4 linked regions of the Arabidopsis thaliana genome follow. The protein of the gene in region 1 interacts with the protein of each later gene in a pairwise test. Each region holds a gene or a part of one and is shown in the gene's direction. Other genes may lie near its edges. The genes, in order: WIP1, AT1G22882, AT4G23950 and SUN1.

Evidence for each region.
Region 2: the proteins of WIP1 (region 1) and AT1G22882 interact in a protein complementation assay, tested with the Arabidopsis thaliana proteins (one study listed by BioGRID).
Region 3: the proteins of WIP1 (region 1) and AT4G23950 interact in a protein complementation assay, tested with the Arabidopsis thaliana proteins (one study listed by BioGRID).
Region 4: the proteins of WIP1 (region 1) and SUN1 interact in a protein complementation assay, tested with the Arabidopsis thaliana proteins (one study listed by BioGRID).

Annotation. Positions count from the first base shown.
Region 1 is NC_003075.7:13,361,891-13,369,720, forward strand, and holds WIP1 (WPP domain interacting protein 1), read left to right. Parts: upstream 1-3,392; 5' UTR 3,393-3,846; coding exon 3,847-4,729; intron 4,730-4,907; coding exon 4,908-5,494; 3' UTR 5,495-5,641; downstream 5,642-7,830. Other genes in the region: AT4G26450 (uncharacterized protein), read left to right, coding at 666-2,503, 2,584-2,737, 2,813-2,891, 2,975-3,030; LRE (lorelei), read right to left, coding at 5,755-6,119, 6,533-6,592, 6,667-6,739; AT4G26460 (S-adenosyl-L-methionine-dependent methyltransferases superfamily protein), read left to right, coding at 7,640-7,830. UniProt on the Arabidopsis thaliana protein: Mediates and enhances the nuclear envelope docking of RANGAP proteins mediated by WIT1 and WIT2 in the undifferentiated cells of root tips.
Region 2 is NC_003070.9:8,095,317-8,104,043, forward strand, and holds AT1G22882 (Galactose-binding protein), read left to right. Parts: upstream 1-3,075; 5' UTR 3,076-3,619; intron 3,620-3,799; 5' UTR 3,800-3,833; coding exon 3,834-3,987; intron 3,988-4,075; coding exon 4,076-5,904; 3' UTR 5,905-6,148; downstream 6,149-8,727. Other genes in the region: CEL5 (cellulase 5), read left to right, coding at 454-648, 730-1,233, 1,321-1,470, 1,549-1,660, 1,730-2,223; AT1G22885 (uncharacterized protein), read left to right, coding at 6,292-6,397, 6,714-6,817; AT1G22890 (uncharacterized protein), read left to right, coding at 7,535-7,640, 7,797-7,912; AT1G22900 (Disease resistance-responsive (dirigent-like protein) family protein), read right to left, coding at 8,594-8,727.
Region 3 is NC_003075.7:12,438,887-12,446,814, forward strand, and holds AT4G23950 (Galactose-binding protein), read left to right. Parts: upstream 1-3,160; 5' UTR 3,161-3,410; coding exon 3,411-3,621; intron 3,622-3,766; coding exon 3,767-4,917; intron 4,918-4,991; coding exon 4,992-5,080; intron 5,081-5,206; coding exon 5,207-5,444; 3' UTR 5,445-5,661; downstream 5,662-7,928. Other genes in the region: FtsHi1 (FtsH extracellular protease family), read left to right, coding at 249-344, 785-913, 994-1,046, 1,164-1,359, 1,533-1,647, 1,785-2,143, 2,236-2,348, 2,437-2,686 and 1 more; AT4G23960 (F-box family protein), read left to right, coding at 5,879-6,022, 6,213-6,409, 6,536-6,773; AT4G23970 (uncharacterized protein), read right to left, coding at 6,492-6,794. UniProt on the Arabidopsis thaliana protein: Encodes a member of the mid-SUN subfamily of SUN-domain proteins. It is involved in early seed development and nuclear morphology. [TAIR].
Region 4 is NC_003076.8:1,469,399-1,477,487, reverse strand, and holds SUN1 (SAD1/UNC-84 domain protein 1), read left to right. Parts: upstream 1-3,458; 5' UTR 3,459-3,717; coding exon 3,718-4,806; intron 4,807-5,463; coding exon 5,464-5,790; 3' UTR 5,791-6,007; downstream 6,008-8,089. Other genes in the region: AT5G05010 (clathrin adaptor complexes medium subunit family protein), read right to left, coding at 1-91, 180-219, 349-351; TOC34 (translocon at the outer envelope membrane of chloroplasts 34), read left to right, coding at 1,716-1,817, 1,905-2,012, 2,114-2,238, 2,341-2,605, 2,697-2,765, 2,858-3,019, 3,116-3,226; AT5G04980 (DNAse I-like superfamily protein), read left to right, coding at 6,804-6,831, 6,947-7,034, 7,171-7,275, 7,352-7,925, 8,018-8,089.

The DNA of each region.
Region 1 (7,830 bases):
GGCGTTTTCATGCTTTCCGTCTTTGTGCTAATAATATATGGTAGAAAAAACTTTTGAGACGCAAATAAAAATGCGAAAACCCCAAAATCGTAATCAGCAGCGATCGAGATTTTCGCCGCTGAAATCTGGAGACTGATTATTACAAACTTGTTCGTCGTGTTCTTCATCGGAGAGACACTAGATCGGAAAATTTAACCTCGATTTGATTGCCGTTGCCGTAACATTTGACTGTTGTTTTGTGGTGGGGAATTCTAGGGTTCTTGTTTGATGAAGAAGAACTGAAGTGAAAATGACCATTAAAATCTCCCATGAGATGATTGTGTCCGTTCATTCTTCGAAATCGGACAACGGAATCGAATGATCGTCATATTCTGTAAGAGAGAAGGTTAGATCTTCACCGAATCTGGAACTCGAGATCCATCGTTTTGTTCGATTTTCTATTCTTTCGCACAAGGATTGGTCTGAGAAGAACAAGTTCAAGTTAGAAGCTGTTGTGTTCTGTCCGGTGAAACTTATTTGAGCTGCTGCAAAAACTTCAAAAGTTGTTACTTTTTCTGAAATAACTTAAGCTTCTTGGTATTTTGAGACTAAATGGTTTCACTACTCTTGTGAATTCCTGGAAATCAGAACTGTTATTAGTTTTTTTTGTATATTTAGGGACAAAGATGCATGCTAGGCAACGCAATGTTGGGAATGGGTACAGATCTGGTTCTATTGGGATGGGTATGTCTGGTTCTAGAATTTCTCCTGAGCGTCCTATGAGAGGACATGGGTTCTATGGTTCTGAACACCAACACCGTGGCTTTAACCGTGGATATGGACGTGGAAGGGGACGCTCTAAATCATACCACAATCAGCTGCCTCCGCCTCTGCCTCCTCCACCGGTGCAGCGTAGAAGCAGTGGCGGTGACGTTTTCATGGAGGCAGGTCGTCTAGCAACAGAGTACTTGGTTTCTCAAGGTGTTCTACCACAAACTGTGCTTTCCAGTAAATGGCAGAATGGTAATTTTAGGAAGCAAGCTGGAGAGTTTCAGAGTTCCAGGTCTCAAGAAGAAGCCCGAATGGATGTTTCAGCTCCAGCTGCAGAGAAAAGGAGGTATATTGATGGCTATAGCTCAGCTGGATCCAGGAATAGCTTGAAAGGAAGGAGATCCCACCGTTATGACTCGGATTTTGGGAGGAGCGGATCTTGGTCAGAGAGAAGTAAAGCTTTTGAGACTGAGACTGGTGACGACTCTGTGTCTGGGCATCAAGAAGAGCAGCCGCTTGCTGAAGATATTGCTAGCTCGGTTCAGCGGTCAGCCTCTGGTGAATTTATGAGAAAATGTGAAGGAGCAGGTGATTCCGAGTCTGTGTTGGACAAGTACAATCTCCAGGATGAGGCACAGTCTAAGACAGGTTCCTCGAGTGCCGGGAAAGATATAGTACAGGATTGTGAAATCTCTAAAGTATCCGAAGGCTCTTCTAGCTTGAGTGCTGGATCAGGAGAGATGAAAGGTAGGTCTGGTGGTAATGGTGGAGAGGATGAGAACCAGACTGCTATCGAAGATGGATCTATCCATCAACGTTGTGAAGATGCATCTATTGATCAACAGTGTGGGGCTGATGAATCATTCACCAAGAGTGGTATTGATTTGGCAACGCTGTGTAAATTTGAGAAGGTGCCTACGAGGACACGCTCTTCTCTGACTGCAAAAGGCCCAAAGCTTTATTTGAGTCATAATATCAAGGATACCTCTCATAATTCTGGACTTGAAGAAGAAGATCAAACCGAAAATCGATGTGAGACTCGAGGCCAATCATCTGGAAAGGCCGATAGTACTGGTGATGAAAATGACCAAGTTGAAGATTTTGCTCTTGTTCAATATATTGAGAACAGTAAATGTCATAGGTCTAATTCTTTTCCCAGTAGCATTCTCAGGGATAACAGTGAGAAAGAATCAGGATTAGAATTGCCTAATCTGCACAGATCACATTCGGTGGGGAAAGTAGGTGAGAAAAGGCCTGGTGAAGGCAGTGACTTGGAGGAGGGATCAAAAAGACAGAGAGATTGGGTGGCAGTTTCTGAAGCTAATGAACGCTTCAACATGTTTAAAACAAGCGGAAACCAATGCGATCCGGAAGAAGAAGGAAAGACAAGCTCGTTCAACAAAAGACTGATTGACGGTGCTGCTGGAAAAAGGGTCAGCCATGAAAGTCTGGTTAATAACTCTACATACAATAGGACACACACTGGCAGAACAGGTCCAGGGTATGCTGAAGAACATCAGCTGTTTCCTGCTTCGTTTAAGATGTGTGACCTAAATCTAGGGGGAGCGTCGGATGTGAATGATGGGATAAAGGAATCTCGTCAAGCTGTTGATTTTGATCTCTCAATCAGCAGTTCTAGTAAGTCTCTCGAGTTTGGTACGAGTACTCGGATGAGCAATGGTAAAGAGATAGAAGTGATTAATTTGGATGATGATCAAGAAGTGGTAAAGTCCAGCAATGATCCAGGAAGAAAGTACGGCCAAGTCCTACTCTTAACACTTATATATACACACACCTATTACATTTTGGCTAATGGGTTTTCATATCTAACAGGCAAGAAGCTGCTCCATATATGGGCATCGATGACGTCCCAGACTACAATGAAAGACTCATGATGGTAGAGTATCTTGATTCCTTTACTCCAATAAACCAGGGAACCAGTAGTGTCCCACAGAATAACAACACAGTTAGCCTTCAAGACCGAGAGGTACCTACTCTACTTGTCAAGTTTTATGTCACATAGAATGTTTGTTGTTGCTAACAGATCCTGAAAACGTCTCAGGGAGCTATTGGAAATGACCAAGTACCAAATAATACAGACGATGATTCGATCTTCATGTCACTCGGAGAAATACCATTGAGTAAGACCAATATCAAATTCTTTCTCTTTTCTATTTTAGCTTCTTAAAGAGCTGAGATTCATTATGTCTTTGCAATTGTGCAGCATTCTTGCAAGCTTGGGACCAACCTCCAGCTCGAGGCTACGAGAAGCCTTTCTGATTCTCTTTTTTTTTGTTATGTTTCTTCAGTCTGTGTAATGAGTGTGTAGTAGCCCAATTTCGTTTGTGCTAATCTCAATCCTCTCAGATGATGTAAGAATGTGACTTGTGGTGTTTTATGGTTGTATGTACCCTTTGTAATTCTCTGTTTATTCTCACACTGTCCCCATGTTTTAGGTCAGTTCAACAATTTTCTGAAATTGTAATAACCAAAATGATAATTATTAACGGTATATATATGTCGTGTCCAATCTCACGGTCAAAAATGAAGAAGGTGATGCTGAGAGGTCAGGCGATTCCGACACGTGTTATATTCCAACCACCCACACGTAATTTTCAAAAAGGAACAAAATTGATCATGAGGGAAAAAAGAATAAACTTTTTCCCACAAAGAAACTTTCCACATTGAACGAGAGAATTATAGATCTGCGAATCCGATCATTGGATTAGGGTTTTCACTTTTCACCCTCCTTTTTCCATCTCTCTGCTGTATACCCTTCCTTTCTCCAAAAAGACCAAAACTTTGCGATTCAATTCGAAATCTGTGTTCTTCCATTGAGCTGGATTTTCATTTTTGGAATCATTTCTTCTCTTCTTTGATCCGATAGATGGTGGCATGGTAGGAAATTTTAGACCTTTATATTTCTATTTAACCGTCAAGGAACCAATGAATTTGTATAGCTTGTTGAGTTGACTTTTTGATTGTGTATGATCGAATTTGGGATCCTCATTTCGGGTTTTGGGTTATTGATCTGAGCTCCTGTTACTTCTGAAACCGATGTGAATTTGGTGGGGGATAGATTTTTTTGTGGAGTCAATGGATTTGGAGAGTGAAAGCTCTGCACTTGAGTCTGTTGATGATAATGTTTTGATTCAACAAAGTGCCAGCAACGTTTGTGATGATGGTAGGAGTTTGGATAACGGGTCTTGCTCTGATGAGAGTGTGAAACTGCTTTCGACTTCTAATTCTGTTGAACTCGGTAAACCTATGAGTTTTGATTCACCAGGTGATGGTGGTGGTGCTTATTCTCCGGTTTTGAAAGGACAAGGCTTGAGAAAATGGAGGAGGATTAGGAGAGATCTTGTTAAGGACACGTCTGCGAATATGGAGAATAGTAAAGCTCTGAAGAGAGGGTTGTCAGGTGTTGCTCATTCACATGGTAAACAGATGCAGTTTCAGTCACCGGAAGTTGAACAAGAGAGTCAGGGATCTGTTGGGTCTGTTAATATGTTGAAAAGTAGCGGTGATGGTTTTGATATACTTGGGAGTAGTGGTTACGATTCTAGGTTTGTGGCAGGGGTTGGTTTTTCAGCTGGTATGGATTTAGAGATAGATGATGATCGGAGTAGTAAGTCTTCCACGGTTGCAAGAGCTCCCAAGGTTATTAGGTATGAGAAGCCAATGATTAGTTCAGGTCAGGGAGGAAACATTCGTGTAGAGAATAGTAAGAAACATAGAGGAGAAAGTGTCGATTTCGAGAAGGAAAACTCTTATTCCAGCTTGGAATCTGACTCAAGAAAGCAGAGTGGAAGAATGATGGACTACAATGGTGAAAATGGGGAAACGTCAATGAGAAAAGATGATGCGGGAGGAGAAGGCGGAGAGTCGATAAACACGGACAATCGTTACTCAGATGAAATGGATCCATTAACAGAGGCCATCAACGGTTTCTTGGCCTTGCAAGATGCTCTTGAAAAAGGTAGCCATTCTGATTATTTTTTTGCTGCGGATTGTATCTAAACTTGCATTATTTTTACTGCTGTTACATAACTATTTCTTGTTATGAGCCTGCATTATCATGTTGGAATCAACTAATAACATCACATGAACAATGATTATGATGTTTAATGTGACTCTTTATGAAATTTCATTTGCAGAGGTTCAGCAATTCCAGGAGATCGGGAATGAACCAATGCCACAGCATCATGAACAAGTCAGCGAAGCAAATTCACCTCACCCCGAGATTGTAACCCTGGTAAACAATGTTGAACAACTGGAGAACATGCTAGAAGAAACAAGGTCCATGCTTGAGGTGAAAGAATCACACATCCGTGACCTTGAATCCACCACGAACCAAAGCAAACACTCGTGGGGAGGAACAGAGATTGTGGTTGAAGACATCTTCCGGCAGAAGATTGAGGCCGAGATTGAATATCTGATATATTCAAGATCTATCGATAACTTAAACAGTCAGATGAAGTTAATTGATGAACAAGAGTCATTGGCAGAAGAGCAAACCCATGAGACGCTGAATAAGCTAGGAAGAGTACAAACGAAGGCTGCAAATTTTACAAACAGAGCTCAAGACCTGCAAAACGATTGCATAGAAATCACCGGGACCATCAAGAAGAGAGCATGTAAGATCACTTCATACGTTCTTATACAGTTAGTATTGCTGTCAACAGTAGTTTTGTTGCTCCTGTCTCAATTGTTGCCGGAGCCAGATACTGTTGTACCCACATGACTTTTGATTTTTGATGTAAACTGAGTTTTGTTTTGGCTTTTGGCTTTTCTTGTTAACAATTCGGCTATAAGTTTTGCCTCTGGTAATAAAATTAATCAAGTAAGTCTCGCTTCTTCTTTTGTTTATTTTGGAGGTCAAGTATTCTTTACACTTGGACACTTGGTCAGTAACAGAACAATTTGATAATTCTATCTAGTTTGTTAGCTAATATGGTATCAAAATGTAATCACTCTTTGGCTCTTTCAATTTCCTTTGATTGATCAAGTCAACACTAACAAAGCAAAAACAGCGGTTGCAGCAGAGATCAACAGCGAGATAAAACGAGGAGTCGAATCAGCAGTTGAGGCGTTTAGGTTATGTGAATAGAGAGGTGGTAAAGGGCAAACAAGCCCATCTTTCCTTTCTCTGCACTCGTTAGCGAAAAGGCCAGTAGGGTAGTTTCCATAAATATTCATGTAGCTGAACATTGTCTGTGCACAATCACTATTCATGTCGTTGATCTGACTCACGTAAGGACATGCAAATTCTTTAAAAGCAGAGCAACATTCTTTGGCTGGAAACGCTGGACCTTTGCACCTCTTTGTCAAGACCTTGTAGTCCATATACTCAAAGTTCACTTCACATTCTGTTTCCAACCAAACAAAAAACAAGAGTTAGTGTCACACCACTTATATATACTTATCTATACACAAACTTGATACACTGATCCAATAATACAAATATTATATAAGAACACTAATGATACAATTTGATTTTAAATTAAAACCAAAGATGAAAAAGTTCTGAAACATAACCGAAATCTATAAATTAAACATCTCTAGCTTATAGACAGGACCAAAATTCATGTAAGAGTACAAATGTTCCTAGTTCCGACGTTACGTCATAATCCTCACCATACCAAGCTATATATCAATATATCATACATATCATAAATATGTACATGAGTCTATATTCACACATTGACGTAAACATAAAATGAAAAGCAGAAGTAAATTAACAAATCGGATTAACAAATTAAAAGGATGAGGATGCTTTTACTTTTCTTGGCATGACGAAGGTTCCTTCCACTAACCGAGGTTTGTGATTCAAACACACCATCTACAGAAAGCGACGACCCATTAGAAACAAATTAAAGATGGAGGGTGGAGAAGGAAGACAACAAAAAGACATACCCGATATGGAACTTGAAGAGGAGAGAGATACCAACAGTGCCATCAGAAAGAAGAATAATAATATCAGCTCCATGAAATTGTTGTTAAAGAAGCTTGTAACATTTTCAAAGAAGAATACATAAGGAAAAGAGTTATGGCGAAATTAATGTCTTACAAAAAATTTCAACGGTAGTCGTTTCAAAAACGCCAAATAATTAAATAACTAAAATATAAAATAACCATTCAATAATATATGTTTGTTTCGTAATTAAGAACCCCAAACATCTAGTAATTTTCAAAAGGCCCCTTAAATTTTGAGACCATAATATCTTCGTACTCTAAAACTGGCTTTGTATAAAGAATTAAAAGACTTATCTAAGACAAAGGTCTTTCCTAGCTACTAGAGTAGTAAGACCATAGATAATTGTTTGATATAAAGAGGATTATTATAACGATTTATGTATAAATTGACAAATTTAGCCTAAGGTCGATAGTGCAATAATGAAAATTTAAAGAGATTCTAAAATGAAATCTTTAAATTTTCGAATTCTCAAGTTAGAAGAAAAGGATGGATAGATTTCTGTGTACACCCGTGATTAACAAAGTCATGGATTTGATCAATACACTGAATTGAACCCATGGTCCCAAAATTAACTTCCAAAAAATGCAACAAATTAAAATGACTGATGACGAAAAAGTAAATATGACGACATTTACACACAAGAGTAACCCTACTTAGGTGCATGTGTGCGTGGTTTCTAAGTAGTGGGCAGTTTAGGTTAATTCATTTTGAAGAAAATAAGATAGTTTTAAGCTTCTCCACGAAGTACTTTCTCAAAATGCTTAAAGTTAATAATCAACCTGGTATTGGTAATGCAGACAGAGCACACGGTATTTAGATTGCTATTCTACTATATAAAGAGAGCTCATCCTTCTCATATATCTCAACATATACTTACTCAAACATATTCTATAAAAATTTCCCAAATTAAATATGCTAATTTACGCATTGGATTTTTTCATCCGATTTCCTCGAAAGGATGACTCACAGATCATGGAATTGTGTATAGGCACGGTTAACAACGGCACAAGTGACAAGACGGCGGACCAAATCAAGGCGACAATGGAAGCGGCTTACCGTGTATTATATAGGCATGCACCTTTACCTCGCAATATATTTGGTCC
Region 2 (8,727 bases), on another chromosome or scaffold:
AACTACCCTATTATCAAGATTTAAGACATTGTTTATCTATCCCCTAATCGTACGTATTACGCAATGCCACTATCTAAAATACACTTCATTACAGTTTACTGTGGTAAAAAAGATAAGTATCAAACATCAAAACTACCAAGAAATTACCAATTTGTGTCGGTGAACTCATATAGACAAACCTATGTGGTAATCAAACTATTAGTTAAAAAAAAATTGAACATATTAAGAAGATTACAGAATAATACATGTAATCCTCCACTTGTCAGTTCTATAAAATATTAATTAAAAAGGAAATTCAAATTGAAGTAACTAAGAACAGTTTTTTTAGCAGTTAAGCTGAATTTCAAAAAGCCATAATCTTCGCTCTGAATCTCATCAGCCCCGGTCTCCTTCTCTAGCTATATATATACGTGTGTGATAAAGTCGTACCCTCAAGCCAACACAATAACAAGAATGGCTTCTCCTTTCTTCTTTGTGTTCCTTCTCTCTGCGCTTTCACTGGAGAATACCTATGCAAGTCCCAATTACAGAGAAGCACTCTCAAAGTCATTACTCTTTTTCCAAGGTCAGCGGTCTGGTCGCCTCCCTAGTGACCAACAACTCTCATGGAGGTCTAGCTCTGGCCTCTCTGATGGCTCATCTGCTCACGTAAGACCCTAAAACTGTATACCCATAGTCAAGTAGTAAAAGCATAGTAAATCCATCTGAATAACACGGTATGAGTTGCAGGTGGACTTGACCGGAGGCTACTATGATGCTGGGGACAATGTGAAGTTCAATTTCCCGATGGCGTTCACCACAACCATGCTTTCCTGGAGCTCTTTGGAGTACGGTAAGAAGATGGGACCCGAGCTCCAGAACTCCCGTGTGGCCATCCGTTGGGCCACGGATTATCTACTGAAATGTGCCAGGGCTACACCAGGGAAGCTTTACGTTGGAGTAGGAGATCCTAATGGTGACCACAAGTGCTGGGAACGACCAGAAGATATGGACACTCCTCGCACAGTCTACTCTGTATCTCCCTCAAACCCTGGCTCTGATGTAGCCGCTGAAACCGCTGCTGCTCTAGCTGCAAGCTCCATGGTTTTCAGGAAAGTAGATCCCAAGTACTCTCGCTTGCTCTTGGCGACAGCAAAGAAGGTCATGCAGTTTGCCATTCAATACCGAGGCGCTTACAGTAATTCCCTTTCCTCTTCCGTCTGTCCGTTCTACTGCTCCTACTCTGGCTACAAGGTAGAGATTCATATGTTTACATTGTTCCAAAACTGAGAAAGACATATCAATGAATCGTTGAAAACTTAACTACTCTTATGATATCAGGACGAGCTACTATGGGGAGCAGCATGGCTACATAGAGCAACCAACGACCCGTATTACACAAACTTCATAAAATCCTTAGGAGGAGGAGATCAGCCTGACATCTTCAGTTGGGACAATAAATACGCCGGTGCCTATGTTCTTCTCTCACGAGTATGTCTCAATCCTTAAAATTCCTAGACATAACTTAACCATTTCCTTCAATGATTTACAAACACATTTCTTTCGCAGCGAGCAGTACTAAACAAAGACAACAACTTTGAACTCTACAAGCAAGCAGCTGAGAATTTCATGTGTAAGATCCTTCCAAATTCTCCATCCTCGTCAACAAAGTACACTAAAGGTAAACTCAACACAGAGTTCTCTCCAAAAGCATTTCAATTACTCAAATACTAAAAGCTATAACTTTCAGGTGGACTGATGTACAAACTACCTCAGAGCAATCTACAATACGTGACATCAATAACATTCTTGCTCACCACCTACGCCAAATATATGAAATCCACAAAACAAACTTTCAACTGCGGAAACTCACTAATCGTCCCCAACGCACTGATAAATCTATCGAAGCGACAAGTCGATTACGTCCTCGGTGTGAATCCAATGAAGATGTCGTACATGGTTGGATTCAGCTCCAATTTCCCCAAAAGAATCCATCACAGAGGTTCCTCTCTCCCGAGCCGAGCCGTCCGTTCCAATTCTCTGGGCTGTAACGGCGGATTCCAATCATTCAGAACACAAAACCCTAACCCTAACATATTAACCGGAGCAATTGTCGGAGGACCGAATCAAAACGATGAGTATCCAGACCAGAGAGACGATTACACCCGATCAGAGCCAGCTACATACATCAACGCCGCATTCGTCGGACCATTGGCGTATTTCGCCGCCAGCCGATCGCCGTAAATCGCCACTCACTTTAAAGTTGGTTGCTTTGATTTGAAAAGTTGGTTAGATAAATCGGTTAGTCTAAAACCCTTACCGCGTAATGGGTAAGGCTATTTCAGATGTAAACTCTAATGGGCTTTTAGGTCCATCATTAATGAACTAATTAGAAACGCCCATCTTTGGCTCTTAAGTGGTTACGGAACTGAACAGAGGGATTAATCTTATGTGGTGTAATTAACCCTTTTTCGAGACGACTAATGATTCGAAACTAAGTGACACCATCAATATCAACTTGGCAATGGTCGAACTTATATAGCGAGTTTTACGCCATGCTTCCAATAAAACTACCATCACAGTGACAATGTTGTTTCCTGAATATGTAACTTTCGGATTATTGGCTAAATAAATCACTACGAAGACTTTTTCATTTGGTTCATCGATGATATAATAAGATGAAGAATGATTTTGTCCAGTAGATGAGTTAACTAAACCGAAAAGATTATAAAACAATATATTGAAGTATAAAACGACGTATAAGAAGAAGGATTGAAAATCGCCAGCTGTGAAGGGAACACAATCGAAAGCTGGCTTTCACGTTAACGTGCCGCACAAATCACAGCTCATCATCTTCCTTCTTTCTCTTTTTTCCACTTACCTTTTTGTCGTTTTCCCTGTCCGAAATTAAAGTGTTTTATTTTGTCGAGGCATATAGTCCCAATAATCAGTTCACAATTTTATTAAGAAGTTGACATTCTATAGACCTTTTTTGTTTAAATATTTATATATAGACCTTTTTATTAGTCTTCAAAACTTGCTTCAAAATAGTAACCCAAAACTCAAAAGAGAACTCTAGGCTTAACATCATTGTCCAATTCTAAATTGTGTTGTTATAACTAACTCATCAACACTTCTAATTAATTTTATGAAATCCATTAAAGTTACGAGTTCAACATACATGTATGGAAAACGATAAACACAGAGCACAAAATTTCGGAAATTGTAACTTTCCGTAAAAAGGAATAAACCTAAACTAAAATAAAATCAATCAATCAATAAAATTGCCGAAATTTGTAAACCCTGGACCAATCCATCTTCTTCTTCTTCTTCTTCGCCTCTCTCTCTAATCAAAATTTTTGTCAATTTGAAGTCTCTTTGACTCTTCTTTCACCGCCGCAGTTAAAAACCTCGTGTGATTCTTCTTCTTCATATAGATTCCCAGAAACATCGAAACTGGTGAACCGTGTACGCTTCGTCGTTAGTGATGCGGAGACGAAAGATATCGCCGGAAAATCATTGGCCTAGATTCAATCCATTAGAGACTCATCGGAGACGTCTACGTTAGCGTACCCAATCCTCCTCCTCTTCTGGGTTGTTTGCTGATCACACATATCTTCTTTCTTCGATTCTCTCTCAGGTGATTCTTTCTTTCTCCGATCACTTTTCCGGTCTATTGTGTAATCCACGCACCAAAAAATCAGATCTTGGAACTCAAATTCCTTATTTGCAGCTTGAGTTTATTAAAAGTCTTTGTCTTTCTGGGTTTATACTATAAGTTGATTAACTTTGACATCTAATGTGTATTTGCTGGTAACAGGGCGTGTCCTGTGTAATCGTTTAGTGGATGTGCAATGCAAAGGTCGTGTAGAACTAGAAGAAGAGTTTCTGTGAACAAGTTTAATGGAAGGAACAGCTTTTACAAAGTCTCTTTGTCTCTTGTTTTTCTCCTTTGGGTTCTTCTCTTCTTTTCCACCTTGTTGATTAGTCATGGAGATGGTGCCAAAGGTAACCTTCAAGTTCTTTTCTTTGGTGGACATCATTGTCGTTTTATTACCTTAAAGCATGTTAAGAACCAACTCTTGTGTACTTGTAGATGAGCCTTTGAACGACTCTATGGGAATGGCTGATCCGGATGATGGTCAGTCAGATGAGAAAGTTGTGCCCTTTGATGGACCATTATCCTTAGCGTCTGCTTCTGTTGATGTTACGTCTGATTTGAGTCGGAATGATGATGTAAACCTGTCTGAAGAAAGTGAAGACAAAGAACAGGAAGCAGAGATCAGTAGCACAGTTTCAGGGAATGATATTGAAAGCAAGGACACTTACCTTTTGAAGCAAAGTGAGATAAATAAGAAAGATACAGGGATTGATGCAGGAAGCAAATATGATGACTTTCCCAAGAAAAGTGAGATTAACAATACAGGTACGTGGAATGATACAGAAGGCAAAGACGATAATAACTTTTTGAAGCAAAGTCAATTGAACAAGACAGGCACAGGGAATGATACAGAAAGCAGTGACAATGAGTTCTTGGAGCAAAATCAGATGAACAAAACAGTTTTAGGGAATGGTACCGAGATCAACGTTTCAAAGGTTGATCAACCATCTCGTGCGGTTCCGCTTGGCCTTGATGAGTTCAAGAGCAGAGCGTCCAATTCTCGAAACAAATCGTTATCAGATCAGGTCAGTGGTGTGATTCACAGGATGGAGCCTGGAGGGAAAGAGTACAATTATGCATCTGCTTCAAAAGGCGCAAAGGTCTTGTCTTCCAACAAGGAAGCAAAGGGGGCTGCAAGCATCCTAAGCAGGGACAATGACAAGTACCTCAGAAATCCTTGTTCTACTGAAGGTAAATTTGTTGTTGTAGAACTTTCAGAAGAAACTTTGGTAAATACCATCAAGATCGCGAATTTTGAGCATTACTCTTCCAATCTGAAAGAGTTTGAGCTTCAAGGCACCCTAGTTTATCCCACTGATACCTGGGTTCATATGGGAAACTTCACGGCTTCAAACGTGAAGCATGAGCAGAACTTCACACTTCTTGAGCCAAAGTGGGTGAGATACTTAAAGCTAAACTTTATTAGTCATTATGGTTCAGAATTCTACTGCACCTTGAGTTTAATAGAAGTCTACGGTGTGGATGCCGTAGAACGAATGCTGGAGGATTTGATATCTGTCCAGGACAACAAAAATGCATACAAACCCCGAGAAGGAGATTCTGAGCATAAGGAGAAGCCAATGCAGCAAATAGAGTCACTTGAAGGCGATGATGGTGCTGATAAGAGCACGCACAGAGAGAAAGAGAAGGAAGCCCCACCAGAGAATATGTTAGCGAAGACTGAAGCATCAATGGCGAAGAGTAGTAATAAGCTGTCAGAGCCCGTGGAAGAGATGAGGCATCATCAGCCAGGGAGCAGAATGCCAGGGGACACAGTACTGAAGATACTGATGCAGAAGTTAAGGTCATTGGACTTGAACCTATCGATTCTAGAGAGATACTTAGAGGAACTGAACCTGAGATACGGGAACATATTCAAGGAGATGGACCGTGAAGCCGGTGTGAGAGAAAAGGCGATTGTGGCTTTGAGACTTGACTTGGAAGGTATGAAGGAAAGGCAAGAGGGGATGGTGAGTGAAGCAGAGGAGATGAAAGAGTGGCGAAAGAGAGTGGAGGCAGAGATGGAGAAAGCAGAGAAAGAGAAGGAAAACATAAGACAGAGTCTTGAGCAAGTAAGTAAAAGACTTGAGTGGATGGAGAAGAAATGCTTAACGGTTTTCACCGTATGTCTAGGGTTTGGCATTATTGCGGTTATTGCAGTTGTGATTGGTATGGGAACTGGTCTAGCAGAGAAGACCGGTAGTGGGGCTTGGCTCTTGTTATTGATTAGCTCAACATTCATTATGTTCGTTTTGTCTCTTTGATGAGAGTTTTGGTCTTATTTTTACACTGTAGAGTCATGTTACCAATGGATGAAATATACCTTGTTTTTCAATAACCGGCACACATACATATACTTAGCAATTTTCTCAATAATCTAATGCCTAATTTGTAACATAGATTGTATTCGATACAATGAAGTCTTCTTATATAGTCTATAGAAAAATTGAAAAAAATGGGCATAATTCTTTTGCGGACGTAAGTAAAAGTGAAAGTAAGTGCGTTGAGTGGATATAGTAGGTGAGTGGGTACAAGGGACCCGTGAGTACTACAACTTTCAACGAGGCTTCATTTTCTTAAATAACAGAGGAGCTGGTCTTCGTTATATATTGAATTTGTGGGAGACTTTGATCGACAACTTATTTTAAGCAATGGCTACAAAAGCATCAAATTTAGTTGTTTTTCTTCTCTCTTTGCTTCTTCTGTTCTTATTGATATCCTTTCAAGTTGGAGTCGCCGACGCCACACGCAACAAACGTTAGTACATATTCGATCTTTTTCTTTCCTATATATTGGTTTTTCTGAAAGAAGAAGCTTACATATCCAATGACTTTCTATCAGTCTCTCATCTTTATATCTTCATCATTTTCTTCTTATGTAAAACTGTGAAGATTAATCTGTTTTTTCCTCATGAAAAATCTTTGTCTGGATTTGTAGATGTATTGTTTTTAGATCATGTTTCATTATATAATCATATGTTAAAGAAAAGTTAAAAGTTATGTTTTATGTGAAGAAGAAATCATATGTAGATAGTTAAAAGCTTATGGTGAATGACATATATATTGTTAATAAGCAGGTCAAGGACAAGAACAGCGTGTGGATTATGATTACCCTCGCCCTCCCACCGCCCCTATATATCTGCCGCCGTCTAAATCGCGCAAAGGAAAAGGTCCATAAGCCAAAGTACTTTTTGACAAGTGATGGAGAAGAAACTATAATTGTCAAGACTCAAGAGACTCGAGATTAATGTTGTATTGTGATTTCATATAATTACGTTTTCGATCATATCACTTTTTAAGATATTTTAACGGTATTTGGTTATATATATATGTTGTCGGTTCTAGTGGTTTGGCCATGTATTTATCATAGCTAATTTTCCACTACTTTCAGTGGCTAAATCACCATTGCAGTTGAAAGTTATAAATCTGTTGCCAATTAACCTTAAACAATTGTGGCTAAATCAGTTGTCATAATCACGAAGAAATGTTATGACTATGTCGTGTTTTAGTACTGGTCAGAGATGACTACGGATTGAACTTAATCACTGTCATTGTTTTCGTAACAATTTGTGACAAAACCACGAAAAAATTGTACTCACAGATAAATATTTGGCTATATGACAAAAATATATATCCTATATGGTTTGTATAGTTGTCTAAAATTCAACCTAAGTAGGTGGAAGAAATAAATTTAAACAGAACAGGACGTGAGCCAAGAGACTTTCGTATGGAAAATTAAAGGCGCGTTGAATAGAAATGTAGTTGGCGACTAGTACATTTCAGCGATGCTTATCCTTTAGCCTTTTACATTTCAAGGAAGCTTTTATTATATAAATCATCCTGAAGCTAGTCTTTGTTATGAAATTGAGAGAGAGTAGAACACTAAATTAGCAAAATGGCTGCAAAAACATCAAATTTAGTTGCTCTTCTTCTCTCTTTGTTTCTTCTGCTTCTATCTATCTCCTCACAAGTTGGACTAGGCGAGGCCAAACGCAACCTACGTTAGTATTTTTTACACTCATTTTCATGCTTATAATATAGGTCTCGTCTCGTCTATATACATATTGTTATATAACTTATATTTGTATTCACCTTCTTTGTTATTATATTTATAGATTTTTTTTGTTTGGAGAAACTAATCATACAATGTGGTGCAGGTAACAATTTGCGTTTGGATTGCGTTTCCCATCCCTCTCCTCCTCCTCCTCATCGTTCCATGGCCCCTCCAATTTTTGTACCGCCTTCTACATCACACAAAGGACAAGGCCCATAAACAAAATCATACAAGTAACCGAGAAGAAGTGATCAAAATTTCATACCAAAAAAAGAAGTGATCAAGATTCCATATAGAGAAAAGAGTATTGTGTAAGAAGAAGGGTCAAGATTTTTCTTTTATTGGGTCAAGCTTTTACAAGTTGACTATTATAAATTATACAACTTATTGTGTCTTATACAAGTTGAACCTTTTCAGAGCATGTTGGAATTTTAAATCATATATTGTGAATATATATGAATATGTTGTATATCTTATATAATAAAGTCATTTTAGATAAATTGATTATTGTACTCTCTTTTCCACAAATTATAGTATTTTAATCAGAACTATTTTTTTGTTATTCGAACTGAAACCGGCCAGAAAAAAAAAAAAAAAAATTTGACGAAATTTTCATATCTAAACCAAATTCAAACCGTTCTGGTTTATTCTGATCGAACCGAATTCATGACCTAACAACAACCATAATTAAAACATACATACAATTCACTAACCAAAATTTTGCTACACCGTCCCTTTCGTCCGAAGACACTCACACGTCCAAACATACATTTACACATCTCAAGTCGAGATTTATTTCAAACTAAACCTTTTAAACTATTAAGGAGATCCACAACCAAAAGAAAAAAGAGAGCAAAGTGAAACAATTTATTTTCGAATTACATAAACAAATCCCAAAAGTTAATGCCAAATGAAGACATTATACTCAACCACGGCATCTATATTTACAACCTTATAAGTCTTTGGCAGTGCATATCCTCTAGCAAACCTGAAATCGCCGGTACCTCCGATGATCGGCAACTCTCTCTCCTCCA
Region 3 (7,928 bases), 920 kb from region 1:
AAATTTCTCGTGCAATTACTTTAGTATGCTTGCGCCAGTTCTTCCCTGAGTATGGATCTCTTGTTTTATTATGTGCATTCTTGGTTAGCTTAGCCTCTAAAACCCTTACCATTAGGGCTTCACTGCTACCCCATCAAGTATAAAGTTGCATGACATTATTTCGTTGAATCTTGGAAGCTCGAGAGAAACCGGGATCTGAAGCTTACTAACCTCTTAGTCTCATTACGATTATCTCATTTTCTTGATAGCTTGTAAAGTACTTGAAGAATCCCGACCTGTTTGATAAAATGGGAATTAAACCTCCCCATGGAGTTCTTCTGGAGGGTCCCCCTGGTTGTGGCAAGGTATGTGTAACCATCTATGCTAATGCCAATCGAAAAGATTTATTGTTAAGTATTGAATAGTATTTTTGTAGCAGCATTATACTTTAGAATACTAAGAAATACTATAGATAATCAAACATGCAGTGGTGCCTGTTGAGATCAATTCTGCTGAGGTTGATGGTTGTATTTCAGAGTATGCTGAGTGTTTGGCAATATCATCACTACTCCTTCAACTTAAACCTGAAATTTGTCTTAAAAAAGTTTTGAATGTTTAGTTGCTATTAACAAGTTATGATTGATTCCTATTCTCGATTGAGATCTTATAAAATCTCAATGTTTTATACAATTGTCAATGATCAGTTTACCTCTTATTGTAGTCGATTAGCTTTATCTACAAGGATCTTTTGACAACCCAGTTGCTAGCAATATAGAGCCTAACCTAACCTGATTTGCTTTCGTAGACACTCGTTGCAAAAGCCATTGCGGGGGAAGCTGGTGTACCGTTCTACCAAATGGCAGGATCTGAATTCGTCGAAGTTCTTGTTGGAGTTGGGTCAGCTCGTATCAGAGATCTGTTTAAAAGAGCTAAGGTGATTGGACATATGTGTATTTATACATTTCTGTGCAGAGATGTTAAATAGTATTTGATGATGTCTATGTCCTTGTGCAGGTAAACAAGCCATCCGTTATTTTCATCGATGAAATTGATGCCTTAGCAACTCGGTATACAATATTTTCGTCCCTTGTATCTAGATTTTGATATACTACCTTCCTTGCATAATTTTTCAACTTGAGACGGAGTTTAACTGATATCGCTCTTTATATTTTGGTATTCGTTAGACGTCAAGGGATTTTCAAGGAAAACTCAGACCAGTTGTACAATGCGGCCACACAAGAAAGAGAAACCACATTGAACCAGCTACTCATCGAGCTTGATGGTTTTGACACAGGCAAAGGTGTGATTTTCTTGGGTGCCACCAATCGCAGAGATTTGTTAGACCCTGCTCTTCTACGTCCAGGTCGATTTGATCGAAAGGTTTGTGATTAACAAAATCTAGACACTAAATCTTCTGTTCTCAAATTTTTGATAGCAGTTATTCGAATTAATAAACAACCAAACGACAATCGCAAGCCATTTGAATTTATCTTGCATTAATTTTGTAGACTTAAGAGTACCGGATAGACCGTTAAAAATAATCTTCTTATCAGATAAGAGTCCGTCCCCCTAATGCGAAAGGGAGATTGGATATTCTGAAGATTCATGCCAGCAAAGTCAAGATGTCGGATTCTGTTGACTTATCATCTTATGCAAGTAACTTACCAGGTATAAAATCTACAATTGATGTTGCAAAGAATATTTGTTATGCTCATGGTGTACCTTTTCCCATAGACAACTTATGTGTTTGAACGTATTGGCCTGTATAAAACTTTGATTAAAGTAATTGTTTATATCAATTACAGGATGGTCCGGAGCAAAACTGGCACAGTTGGTTCAAGAGGCTGCTCTTGTAGCTGTCAGGAAAACGCATAACTCGATTCTTCAATCAGACATGGACGACGCTGTGGACCGACTCACTGTTGGTCCGACACGTATTGGTTTAGAATTGGGACATCAAGGTCAGTGTCGTAGAGCCACAACTGAAGTCGGAGTGGCAATCACTTCACATCTTTTATTGCGGTATGAGAATGCAAAGATTGAGCGGTGCGATCGCGTTTCTATCATTCCTCGTGGTCAGACACTGTCTCAAGTTGTGTTTCATCGGCTTGATGATGAGTCCTACATGTTTGGTCGTCTTCCACAACTGCTTCATCGTCTTCAGGTGCTTCTTTTTCTCTATTAAAAAAACTCTTCACTCATTTCTCTAATATTCGATGTTACGAGTTTATTATACTTCTAAAATTTCTATTTCAGGTCTTGCTCGGAGGAAGAGCTGCAGAAGAAGTGATCTACGGTTCAGATACTTCAAAGGCATCAGTCGATTATCTCTCTGACGCCTCATGGCTAGCTCGTAAAATCTTAACCATGTGAGAGGCCCAATTTTGCATATTTTCACATTCCCCTTTAAAGTAAAAGCTTCTTCTTACTCAAGACTTATATATATTTGGATTTCAGATGGAACCTGGAGAACCCAATGGTGATACATGGCGAACCACCACCATGGAGAAAGAGACCTCAGTTCGTGGGACCACGCTTAGACTTTGAAGGATCTCTCTATGACGACTATGACCTCGTCGAGCCGCCAGTTAACTTCAACATGGATGATGAAGTCGCACATAGAAGCGAAGAACTCATTAGCCAGATGTATAACAAAACAGTTTCTCTCCTCAGGCAAAACCAAACCGCTCTCCTCAAAACCGTTAAGGTAATTTCAAACATTTAACCGCAATTGCGTTTTCGTTTGATTTGTTCATACTTTTATTTTCCCATGTGTAGGTTCTATTGAACCAGAAAGAGATAAGTGGAGAAGCAATAGACTTCATACTTGACCATTACCCTCCTCAGACTCCGTTAAATTCTCTCTTACAAGAGCAAAATCCGGGAAGTCTTCCTTTTGTCCCTGAACATCTCCGGCGTGAATCCGGCGACTTTGTCCTTGTTAATCACTCTACCGACGTCAATGCTCAAGTATGATTCCGGCGTCCCAGAGACATCAAATCACTAAGCTTAGGTTTATTCATTGTCCGTCATTGTAACTTCGACTCAATCTCTGAAGTTTCGGACAGTTAAATTTACAGAAATAAAGAAAAAAACTTGGGTCAAAGACACTTCTTTGATTTGCTAACAATAGATTAGACAAACTTAAGTATAAATTTAGAAACAAAAAAAGTTTTAATTCCGAGGAAATCGACGGACAAAAAGTTTGGTTCTTTGTTTCAAACCACACAAGACAGCAACAACACGAGTCATGCACTCTCTTTCTTACCTTTTTTCTTCTTCTTCATCCGTCTTCTTTTGCTCTTGTTCCTCGTGCCCTCTTCTCGGTTTCTACAGATACAGGTCATAGTCATACAACCAACGATCTCTCTTGACTCTCTCCATCTGTGCATGTCACACACGAGTATAGATCTCTTCTCTGCTTTATAGATATGGCGAGGCGCGGAAGCTGTTCGACGATATGCCTGAATGAAAAATTGCAAAGGTTTCGAATTGTCAGAATCTCCGACAAGGCTGATAATTTTAATTCCAGAAGCGGCAGCTTCTTCGAGCGTTCTATCTCTCTCGTTCTCTTACTCTGGTGCTTCCTCTTCCTCGTCTACTCCAAGCTTGGCCAAAGCCATGATGATTATGGTAATGCAGGTAAGTGTTCTTCCTTGTTTGAGAGAGATTCCGTTATCATTTCAAATGTTAATTAAGGAAACAAATTTAGGGTCTTTTAACTTGGGGGGTATATTCCAGAGATTGCTATATTGTGTTCCTCTGAAGAAATCAATTTATTTTGTAGATAGAATTGGGAATTACACTGATGGATCAGTCTCAAAGACACTGAATTCCACGAGTTCTGTCTTCCCTCAGGCCACTGAGAAAGAAAACAACTTTTGTCTCCTGAGAAAAGGCCAGTTACAAGATGTGTATGAGCATGTTCTTGTGAACAACGCTTTGTTGATCTGCAAAGTTGTGTTGCCAGAACGAAGAATAAGCAAGAAAACTCTGGAAGCTCGTGATCCTAGATATGTCAATCTTGAAGACAAGAGTCTCAAAGTTAATGGCTCATCACAGCTTGTGAATAATGGGACTCGTTATAGGTTAGAACCAGATGGAAATGGGTATAACTACGCTTCTGCTATGAAGGGTGCTAAAGTTGTGGATCACAACAAGGAAGCAAAAGGAGCTAGCAATGTGCTTGGCAAAGATCATGATAAGTATCTAAGAAATCCCTGTTCAGTGTCAGATAAGTATGTTGTGATTGAGCTCGCCGAGGAGACACTGGTTGATACGGTGAGAATTGCAAATTTTGAGCATTACTCTTCGAATCCCAAAGAGTTTAGCTTGTCAGGGAGTCTGAGTTTCCCTAGTGATATGTGGACACCTGCTGGGAGTTTTGCGGCTGCAAACGTTAAGCAGATCCAGTCATTCCGGCTCCCGGAACCTAAATGGTTGAGATATCTGAAACTTAATTTAGTTAGTCACTATGGGTCTGAGTTTTACTGTACTCTGAGTGTTGTGGAGGTATTTGGCATTGATGCTCTTGAGCAAATGCTTGAAGATCTGTTTGTTCCATCAGAGACTCCTCCCAGTAAACCAGCTATGGTGGAACTAAAAACTGCAGATGAAAAACAAGATGGGGAAATAAAAAGCAATAGGACAGATCAGATTGGCAAAGAAACTGAAGCTCAGAAGAAGAAAGATGATGTTGTGAAGACGATTAATATCATAGGAGACAAAAAGTATGAAGTCAAGGAGAAGCATAACGTTTTGAAAGTGATGATGCAGAAAGTGAAATTGATTGAGATGAATTTATCGCTTCTTGAGGATTCTGTAAAGAAAATGAATGACAAACAACCAGAGGTTAGCTTGGAGATGAAGAAAACCCTAGTACTTGTGGAGAAAAGCAAAGCTGACATCAGAGAGATCACAGAATGGAAAGGGAAAATGGTAAATTCAATAATTTCTTATGATTAAGTCTTTGTCCGTTGAAGAAACTACCAATGAATTTGATATTCTTTGAGCAGGAAAAGGAACTTAGAGACCTAGAGCTATGGAAAACTCTTGTAGCTTCCCGTGTAGAATCATTGGCTAGAGGAAACTCTGCATTGAGGTCAGTACTCTTTTTTATTCCTAAATAGAGAAAACAGAGGATTTGAAATCTCAAGCGGAGAGCTATCCCATGACTTGAAACGTATTCTTAGTTGACCCCATATTTCTTCTTGTTTCTTGATATCAGATTGGATGTAGAGAAGATTGTGAAAGAACAAGCTAATCTAGAGAGTAAAGAGCTGGGAGTTCTATTGATAAGCCTCTTTTTCGTGGTCTTAGCAACGATTCGGTTAGTCTCAACACGACTCTGGGCATTTCTGGGGATGTCTATTACGGATAAAGCTCGATCACTATGGCCGGATAGTGGCTGGGTCATGATACTGCTAAGCAGCAGCATCATGATTTTCATTCATTTACTCTCTTAGATAGCAGAGTTAGGCTTAGGTTTTTTTTTTTATAACAGTGCCTTGCTATTAAAGTTTGTAACCCTAGGATTAGGAGTAGAAAGAACTTTCATTGATAATATTGGACCCAAACTATCAGTGACAACTGATTTTCTTTAGTGTTTGATGTTCCAACTTCCATAGGTGTAAATGTAATCTGCCCGGTGCTTAGAAAACCAAATAAATTGAAAACCAAAAATAACTAAACCGAACCGAAACTGAATTAAACGAATTTCTTCCCAATTTCCAAGAGAGACAACGGTTTTGTTTTTTAGGGTTAAATTTTAAGGAACCACAAAACAAAACAATCCCCTTGATCCTTTGCCCTCTTTCTCACTATTCTCGACTCCACCAAAAAAAGGGTTTAGGAAATGGTGGTGTCGAAGTTCGGTAATGATAACGCGGCGGGAATGTCGATGATCGAGCAATTGTTTCCGGAGGTTACATGCTACGCGCTCAGATACTTAGATTACTCAAGTCTCTGCCAGTTATCAATGACGAGTTCCTCCATGAGAAAGACAGCGAATGACGATGTCCTCTGGAGAGCCCTTTATTTCCAAGTAATTTTGGACTCTCTTTAACCATTCTGTCTTGTTGTTGTTGTAGCTTTATGGAATAATGTGCTTCTTAGGGTTTGAAGAAATGAGATTTATTCTTGCACTCTCAGGTTTCTTAGAATTCATTGATATTGCCTTAAGACTGGTCTTGCTGATCCAATTGTTTTCCTTCATTTCATTCTCTACAACAAAGGAATTTACAGAGGAAACAAATGGTGGAACTCCGGTTAATGGGTGGAAGGCGTTCTTTGCAGTTACTAAACAAGTCATGACTGTGAATGATAAATTCTTTAGCATCCTCGATTCGAGGTCACTTCCCAGAATGACTAGTTTATGGCTCAACTCTGACTATGTCAAGTGCTTCAACGGCTCTGGTGAACTCTTCACCGGGTACTTACTTACCTACCCTTTACTATAATCTTTGTCTTTTTATTTTTCTAGAAATGTGGCTCCTTCCAATGTTTAGAGCGTTTTAAACATCGTATTGATTTATCACTTGTATTGCTTCGTTTTTAGGTTTGACGCAGTGATGCAAAGATGGGACTTCTGTTTCGACAACTGGGAGATAGGGTTTCCAACGTATGTCATTGAATCGAGGACACGGATTCTGAGCAGCGTGGCTTGGGTCTCCACGATCGCGCTCCATCACATAGGTCAATTCAACATCACCAATGTCTTTGAGCTTCATAATGGACGATGGCTCATGGTGCACCACCACTCCTCCATCATCCCCACAAACGGTGTGGAGAATTAATAAGAAGTTGTTTTCATCCATAGTGTGTATGGTCTTGAATCAATCTCGCCCTAGAGGAAACAAAAAAATGAACAACAAAACTGCGTATTCGGAATTGGTTAGAATATTGATAGTAATTTTCTAGCTATATTTTCATCTTAGGACAAGGTTATGTTTCTAATACATAAGTCGAATTGCTTGTGCGACGAGTTTCAACAACTTGGCTAGCCAAATGTTTTTTCCTATCCAACAATACAAAATAAAACTGTTAAACAATGAATAATAATAGTGAAAAACAAAAGTTGTTGACTCATGTAATGGCGTTTCTGTAACTGCACCAGATTCGGGATGATGGTATTCCACGATTTGGGAACCTCCGAATCTGACGGACTTAAGAAGAGTACTCAAATATCCTACGGCTAGGGGAATCTCACAGAGTAAGTCAATGAAAGTCAACATCGATCATTTGGAGGAAACGTGAGGAACAAAGATCCCACTTATCCCGGAATATTTGTTTTTTAGCCGGTCCAATAATCTATCCTACTAAAACCATTATTATTAGTTCACTAATAATATAATAATTACAACATCAGTGACCAATAACATTTCCATGTCTAAACTTTATTTATCCGGCTGCTTGAATTAATAAAAAAATATGTGGTCCCTTTCTTTTCAATTTACAATACATTTTATAAGTTAATAATTTAATTAATTTTTTTTGTATTTAAGTATTTTTTAAAAATTAATATATTTGATTAGAAAAAAAGAATATGATAAAGTGTCCCTCTCATATTCGGATTGTTTTTATTGCTTTAACACTCAGAATTATATTTTCCCGTGGAAAATGTCCTAAATTGAAACCCAAACGGATAGGCTTCTACTATTTCTATCATTTTCAAAACTTTTATATTTCTGTTTTAAGATTTTCAAAACACTTGACCAACAGCAATGAAAAATCTGGTAGCTGATCATCTGATAAGTTATTTTTAACTAGTGCTGGGATAATATTCCATAATTTAGAATAAAATCCTCAATATAATTACTCTTAAGTCTTAACACTTTCATAAGTGATTATAGACTCTTTCTTCAGTTTTTTTGTTATTCAAAAACCTCAATATTCCTTCTTAATCAAATCAGTATTAAAACTTGAAACCATGAACCATCAATGCCTGCTAA
Region 4 (8,089 bases), on another chromosome or scaffold:
TGCTTTCCCATTCCAACCAGCTTAGGAAAAGCTGCAAGTAGACCTTCGATTCTGATACGGGACATATCCACATAGTGTCTGGAAACAATCACTACATAAAAAAGAAGAAAGTTAGAAAAAACGCAAAAATATTGAAAAACGAGAATTCGAAGACAAAGTCAAAGATAGATGAAAATAACCTTTCCCAGACTTGACCACAATGGCAGCAGCAAGCACAACCTATAAAGCACAGGTTCCAACTTTAGAAAACGCGCCAGACACTCATCAAACACTAAAGTTAACACCAAATTGCGAAGATGCACTAAAAAGGAAAAAGAAAAAAACCAATCATAGAACAAAAGTCAATACCATTTTGATTATTCAGGCTCGAACAATCTCGGCGATTATAAGAAAGGTAATGCGAATCTGAAATACAAAGAACCAATGTTAGAGTAAATCCAGTTAGAGCGAGATCAGAAGAAACAAACGGGATTTGATCTTCAGGATCATAAATCACGTAATAGAGGAAGAGATCTCGAATACACGAATCCAAACGAAACTAGACTAGCGAATCGAAAATATAAAAAGAATTCATCGCAGATCCAGCGGATCTACGAGCATCAGAGGCTCATAATCGAAAAACATAACTGTAGAATCAAAATCAACACAAGCGGATCAAATTCATGAAACAGGATCGCGAAATTTAGAAGGAGGAGAAAATTCTTAATAATGGAGATCCACAGAAATGTAGCCAGAGAGAACATTCATTCAAAGGAAAACGAAAATCATCACCATCAGTGAAGGCGAAGAGCGAGAGAACAAGACGATACCTTGGGAGTGATCGAAGGAGATGAAATCACCAGTTTCTTCTTCACAAGCTCGCCGAGTAAAAAAGATGAAACGAGTCTCAGATTAAATCCTGGTGTGTGTGTTAGAGAAAAGACGATCCACAAAACAAGGACAAGTAATCTGGGCCGTTTCAGTTCCTTATTGGGCTTTCCAACCCAGTAAATGGAAGAAAAAATGCCAAAAGGGCAAATTCGTCATTGGTGCAGACCGACGACATTCGGTTTAGTCCGGTTGAATTTTGAAAGGAATGTACTTTCATGTATTGAGATTTGTAGCAATCAATCATCTTCAAAAGTCAATTTCAGTTCTAGGGTTTTAATTTGATACGAGGTCAGCGAATCCGGCGACGAATATCCGCCACTAGTAACTCTAGCTCAGGTAGGTTACTCTCTCTCTCGTTTTCTTTCTTTATCTGGTTTTCACTTCGTCCACTTAGAAGTATGCTCATTTGATAAATTGGCATTTGACCCCAGTTCAGGATTTAGGATTCTGATTATCTCTCAATACTTGATTAGTTTAGTGCTTAAGTTATTAGTTTTTGGTATGCCCACTTGCGCCATGTTCGTTTCTAAAGCAATGAGATTATTTTCATTTAAAGATCTGGAAAAAAGAAACTAATGGAGACAACGGCAAATGAAGATGGATTTTAAGGGTTTTTGTTCTTAGTAAAAAAAAGTTATCTTCTTTTTAATTTTCTGAGACTTTAATTGCTAGAAAGTTATAGGATTGATTCAGATAGTGGAATCAGACAACTTTTTCTTTTATGGGCGATTACTCATTTTTGTTCTTTGGTCTTCTGATTGTTTAGTTTCTTAGCAGATGATTTAGTCTTCTCTTTTGTGATCCTTTTTTGCTTTCCTTGGAAGTGTAGGTAAGGATTTGTGTCCATGGCAGCTTTGCAAACGCTTCGTGAATGGATCGGTATCCAGCAGTTCCCACCTGCTACTCAATCTAAATTGCTCGAGATCCTTGGGAAGTATAAAGAAGAGGTTCCTTTCTTGTTTCTAGCTTCATCTGCTTTCTGTTTGTTTCTTCTTGTCTTAGAGAGATTTAAGAAAGAAAAAAAACTGGTGTAGGATGTGAGCTCGCTAACGGTCCTTGTAATGGGGAAAGGTGGTGTTGGAAAGTCATCAACTGTGAATTCAGTTATAGGCGAGAAAGCTGCTGCAGTTAGTACTTTCCAGGTGCCAAGTTTAATGCTCTTCTCATGGCTTGTCTTTATGACTATTGGCTATCTTTCTTTTAATTTTTCTCATAGAAAGTGTGTGATTTTCCCTCTTTATAGTCTGAAGGACTGAGGCCTACCTTGGTCTCTCGCACAAGATCGGGATTTACATTGAATATCATCGACACTCCTGGTCTTATTGAGGGAGGATATGTGAATGATCAAGCCATCAACATTATAAAACGGTATGATGAACTGTTTCCAGGTCTAAGGAGTTACTCTCCTAATTTGGGGCTCATTTGTGGCATTTGTATTAATTTGGATTCGTGGATGTTGAATTTGAACAGATTTCTCCTCAACATGACTATAGATGTGCTACTATACGTAGACCGTTTGGATGTGTACCGGGTGGATGACCTTGATAGGCAAGTTGTCGGTGCTATAACTGATGCATTTGGTAAAGAGATATGGAAGAAGTCTGCTCTTGTTCTCACCCATGCTCAGTTCTCTCCACCAGACGGGTTAAATTATAACCACTTTGTCTCCAAAAGATCTAATGCTCTTCTAAAAGTTATCCAGACAGGCGCTCAACTGAAGAAACAGGATTTGCAGGTATAGTTTTTTCCTCCTTACATAAATGTCTGTAACGACCTTGATAGTAGTCAAGTTAATAGACTCACTTACCTCTGATCTTTTATTGTAGGGTTTTTCTATTCCTGTCATTCTTGTTGAGAACAGCGGAAGATGCCATAAGAACGAAAGCGATGAAAAGGTCAGTTGATTGGTTTTGTCCACGTTCTCTTTTTCTCGCGTCTTGTAGTAGTTGGACCAATCTTGAAGTCGGATTTTCCAAATTTGTGACAGATTCTTCCATGCGGGACTAGTTGGATTCCCAATCTGTTCAACAAAATCACAGAGATCTCTTTTAATGGCAACAAGGCGATTCATGTTGACAAGAAACTGGTCGAAGGGCCAAACCCAAACGAAAGAGGAAAAAAACTGATTCCTTTAATGTTTGCATTCCAAGTAAGCCCCTCTGAACCATTCAGTAACAATACAGAATAAGGCTTGATCAAAACATCATGCATCATTTATTCATCTTTTGATGGTTTGAAAATGCAGTACTTGCTGGTGATGAAGCCATTGGTTCGAGCAATCAAGTCCGATGTTTCGAGAGAGAGTAAACCGGCGTGGGAGCTGCGAGACTCCGGTTTAGCAAGTCGAAGGTCTTGAGTTGTGGACACGAGTTTTGTTTGGTTTGTTTGTCTATCTGAGAGATTGTTCTGTAGTTGAAATTGTGATACAACTCGAGAAATGTGGTTCACAGATAATTACTGTCGCAAAGTTCTCTCATCTTAATTACATCTTCTTTAGCCTCTCGTAAATCGTAATTAAGAGCTACTCTCTTGGTGAAAATGATTAGAAGAGATAATTCCATTTTGTCATTAATGGTAAAAGTAACCGCTGCAGTTATTTTTGACGCGATGCAAGTTTTGAAATAAAATAAAAATTTGAGTTAAAGAAAAAAAAAACCGATGTTTAAAGGAGGAATTTGGCAAACGGAGAAGACGGTTCAGAGAAGATCGTTTACTCTTTCCTCAATTTCGAACAAAGTTTTCGAATTTTCCAACTCTCTCTAGTGAATTTAGGGTTCTGATTTCGACATTAGTGTAAAGATTTGTTTTTTATCCGAGGGGTGCGATTGTGTAGTCAAACCAGATCAAATGTCGGCATCAACGGTGTCGATCACCGCTAATACGGCGGCAGCGACTAGACGGACGCCGATTCTTGCCGGAGAGAAAAAATCAAACTTTGATTACCCTCAAAGCGAATCGCTTGCGAACGGTGGTGTTGGGGAAGCCGGTGGTACGAGTAGAGATCTGAGCCGCGGTGAAGCTACCCTTGATCGATCTCAGGGACAAGATTTGGGTCCTGTGACGAGAAGGTCTGTTTCCGCTGCGACGGGGACTAATACCACCGCTACGCAGCGCCGGACGCGGAAGGTTGCGACTCCTAAGTCTGAGAAAGCGCGGTGGAAGACAGTGGTGAGGATATTTGCGAAGCAGCTTGGTGCGCTTTTGATCATTGTTGGGTTAATTCAATTGACGAGGAAGATGATTCTCAAGGCTTCTTCTCCGTCCTCTCCGATTTCTTCTTATGAAACGGAGATGGCGTTTTCGGGATTGGAAAGCCGAATTGCGGAAGTAGATGGTCTTGTTAAGGCTACGACGAATTCGATGCAGGTTCAAGTTGAATTGCTTGATAAGAAAATGGAGAGGGAAGCAAAAGTGCTTAGGCAAGAAATCGAGAGGAAAGCTTCTGCATTTCAGAGTGAGTTGAAGAAGATAGAATCTAGAACTGAGTCACTAGAGAAGTCTGTAGATGAAGTAAATGCTAAACCTTGGGTGACGAAAGATGAGTTAGAGAGGATTTATGAGGAACTGAAGAAGGGGAATGTTGATGATTCTGCTTTTAGTGAGATTAGCATTGATGAATTGAGGGCTTATGCTCGTGATATTATGGAGAAAGAGATTGAAAAGCATGCTGCTGATGGCCTTGGCCGAGTTGATTATGCATTGGCTTCTGGTGGTGCTTTTGTGATGGAGCATTCAGATCCTTATCTTGTTGGTAAAGGGAGTAGCTGGTTTGCGACTACCATGCGGCGCGCTCATACGAATGCGGTTAAGATGTTATCTCCGAGCTTCGGTGAGCCTGGACAATGTTTTCCTCTGAAAGGTAGCGAGGGCTATGTGCAAATCAGGCTGAGAGGACCAATCATACCAGAGGCTTTCACATTGGAGCATGTAGCTAAGGTAATGATACTCTTGTACTGCAAACTATTTGTGTTGGTATCAGTTTTCTTTCTTGTGTGCTCTTATTACTACCTTTGGTGTTTGCATTTACAATGGTTTGATATTGAGATGCCTGGAAAAAATGACGCCATTTTCTTTGTGACTGTTGATGGCATGAAATTGTTTGAATGAGGCTTGAGATTAGTTTAGATCGGTTGCTGCAAAAGATCTGAACTGAAGAGGATTATGGTTACTTAATAAGTTTCGTCATCATCCAGTAGGTCTCGTCATAGTTCTCCAATTCTGTGTGTGCCATATGCCATTGACCTTTAGGAGTTTGTTTAAGATCTGTTTTTTTCTGGCATTATCTTTTGAAATTGATTACACAATACCACTCTATCGAAGTATCTCAAACCTTTGTCAAAGAGTTCAATAGTATGCATAAATAGATCCTTTGAGGGTTTTGGGTTATCTTCTGTTTCTATTTGCAACGACTGGAACTAGACTATTTTGTTTGTTTGGGGTTATTTCAATGACAATAACCGAGTAAAATGAAATAAAGAAGACATTTGGATACGCTCATTACTTACTGTCTCTGGACATTTTTGGGTCATTCTTATTTTGGGGATTATATATGTACACTGACCTGATGGATTGATGCATTGTGAAAATGAACAGAGTGTAGCCTACGACAGATCGAGTGCTCCAAAAGATTGCCGTGTATCAGGATCCCTGCAAGGACCGGAATCCTCAGCGGAGACAGAGAACATGCAACTTCTAACAGAGTTCACTTACGACCTAGACAGGTCGAACGCACAAACATTCAACATCTTAGAGTCATCAAGCTCTGGTCTAATCGATACTGTCAGGCTAGACTTCACCTCGAACCACGGAAGCGACTCGCACACTTGCATCTACCGGTTCAGGGTTCATGGGCGTGCGCCAGACCCGGTTCCTGTTGTGGGAACGAATCTTGATCAGGACTCTTCACCTGAAAGTGAATAAAACCTCTTCTGTTTTGTAACATTCCTTCATCCACATCTCTTTTGTTGCCTGTGTTTTTTATGGAAAGAAAAAGAAAGCATCAGATTCTGTGATTAGACTAGTAGAGAGTTGTTTGATTTGATTATGTCTTCTTTGTGTTACCTTTTGGTTTATTTGGTTGCAGAATACATAAATCAAGAAATCCAATTTATACTGTTAATCTTTAAAACGCATCTTACCTATCTTCTAGTCTCGATATGATAATAACATCATTTTAAAAGAATATCTCCAAATTGGTTTTGTTCTAGCAGAAATATACAGCTACGTTCAAACGTCCTATTCAATTAAATCACATCAAGTTCAAAAGTTTACCGAATCAAATAGTTTCTTTATATAATACCGAATCAACTAGTAGTTAGTTTTTATTCTTAAAATCGTTGAATAAAAGATACACACTTTATTGTAAGACCACAAACTAAAGTTGATCTTTTATTGGACTGCTCTAGGCTCTACGTATACCACACGCATATATATGTGCACGAAAAACGTTACTTTCTGATTGAAGTAATCAAAGTTCGGTCAAAGGATTCATATATATATAATGGAATCTATGTCTATCTAAGTATCTATAGACCACATAATAGAAAGAAAAATAAAACAAAAGATGAAAAGGAAGAGAAGATTTGTATAAATGAAAAAGCAAAGAAACAAGAGGGGCATATAAGTATCAAAGGAAGGGAACAGTGTTCTTGATTTCAGACTTTTTCAGAATATATTCTTTCAATTATTTTACTTCTTTCTTATCTTTGCTTCCTAAACTCATAAAGATCTCTTCTTTTAAAAAAAAAAAATATAAGAAAAACGAAGAGAAGACCGAAGCATTGCATAAGGTAAAAACAATAATAATTCCTTTCCGCTACAGTTTGTTAATTCTTTAGTGTTCGAAGACCAAATCTGAAGAAGAAAGCTCTTGAATTCTCCCTCATACCACGAGAACCATCTAAAGAAAGTCGCTTTAACTCTTAGAACAAAACATGTCGGATCCACTCTATATATTTAATAGTATGTCCCTCTGTGTATATATCTACATGTGTGTCTCTGTTTATCTTCAGAATTTTGTCGTCTCTGTCTCATATATTGCAGCTATTTCTTGGCTCTTTTTAAAAAAATTTTGCAGGGTCTCAATCCGAGATAGTAGTTGAATCTCTTTTAGCTTCAAGCAATCTCAGATCTTCAATGCCTACTCAGCAAATCCAATCCTTAAGGTATATACCCATAGTTATACATCTTTGTTTGTGTTTTTTTTCTCTGTATAGATTCTTGATTTCTTCTCTTATTTTTAGTTATCCCTCGAAACAGAGATGTTTATTTCTAATGTTTTGGTTTTGTGACTATATGAAGAGTCTTTGTGGCGACATGGAACGTGGGAGGAAAATCTCCACACTCTGGTCTTAATCTTGATGCTTTGCTTCACGTGCATAGTGAATTCGATGTATACGTTTTAGGGTACACAATTTCAAAATGTCTTGAGTATTTCTTGGATTAGTGTCTTGAGGGTTGTCGATTTAATCTTGTCTCATAGTTTTCAGGAGATTGTTCCATTGAATGCTGGAAATGTCCTTGTTCTTGGAGACAACGAGCCTGCTGCGAAATGGTTAGCGATGATCAATCAATCCTTAAACAAATCATCATCATCTTCTGGAGGAAGACTTAGCCCAAAAACTCCATCTTTTGGCGCTGGATCGATGTTCTTTGCGAAACCTTCTTTGAAGAAGATTAGTGAGAGTTTCAGAACAGAGTGCAGGAGAAAGCTGAAGATCTGTAACTGCAGCACTTTCTCTGAAGATATTGTAAGAAAGTATGGGAGAGAATCTTGTTTCAGATGTCCTGAAGGTCTAGTTAACCAATCCGGTGTACTTTCTGATGACGAAGAAGATGAAGATGATGACGATGATGATGAAGACGAGGATGAAGGAGGAGGAAAAGTTGCTTCTCTTGTAAGCAACCAAATGACGATGAAGTATGGCTTAGTAGCATCAAAGCAAATGGTGGGTATATTCCTTACTGTGTGGATGAGAAAGGAACTTATTCAACACGTTTCTCATCTCAGAATCTCCTCCGTCACCCGCGGAATCATGGGTTGCTTAGGAAACAAGGTACAGTACTTTACCACTTTCATACTTAAAAACCATAACAAGTAAAAAAAAAAACTCTGTTTCTGATATTCTCTTCTTCTTCATCATCATAGGGATGCATAGCTGTGAGTTTGCAGCTCTACAAGACGAGCTTCTGCTTCATCTGCAGTCATCTAGCTTCTGGT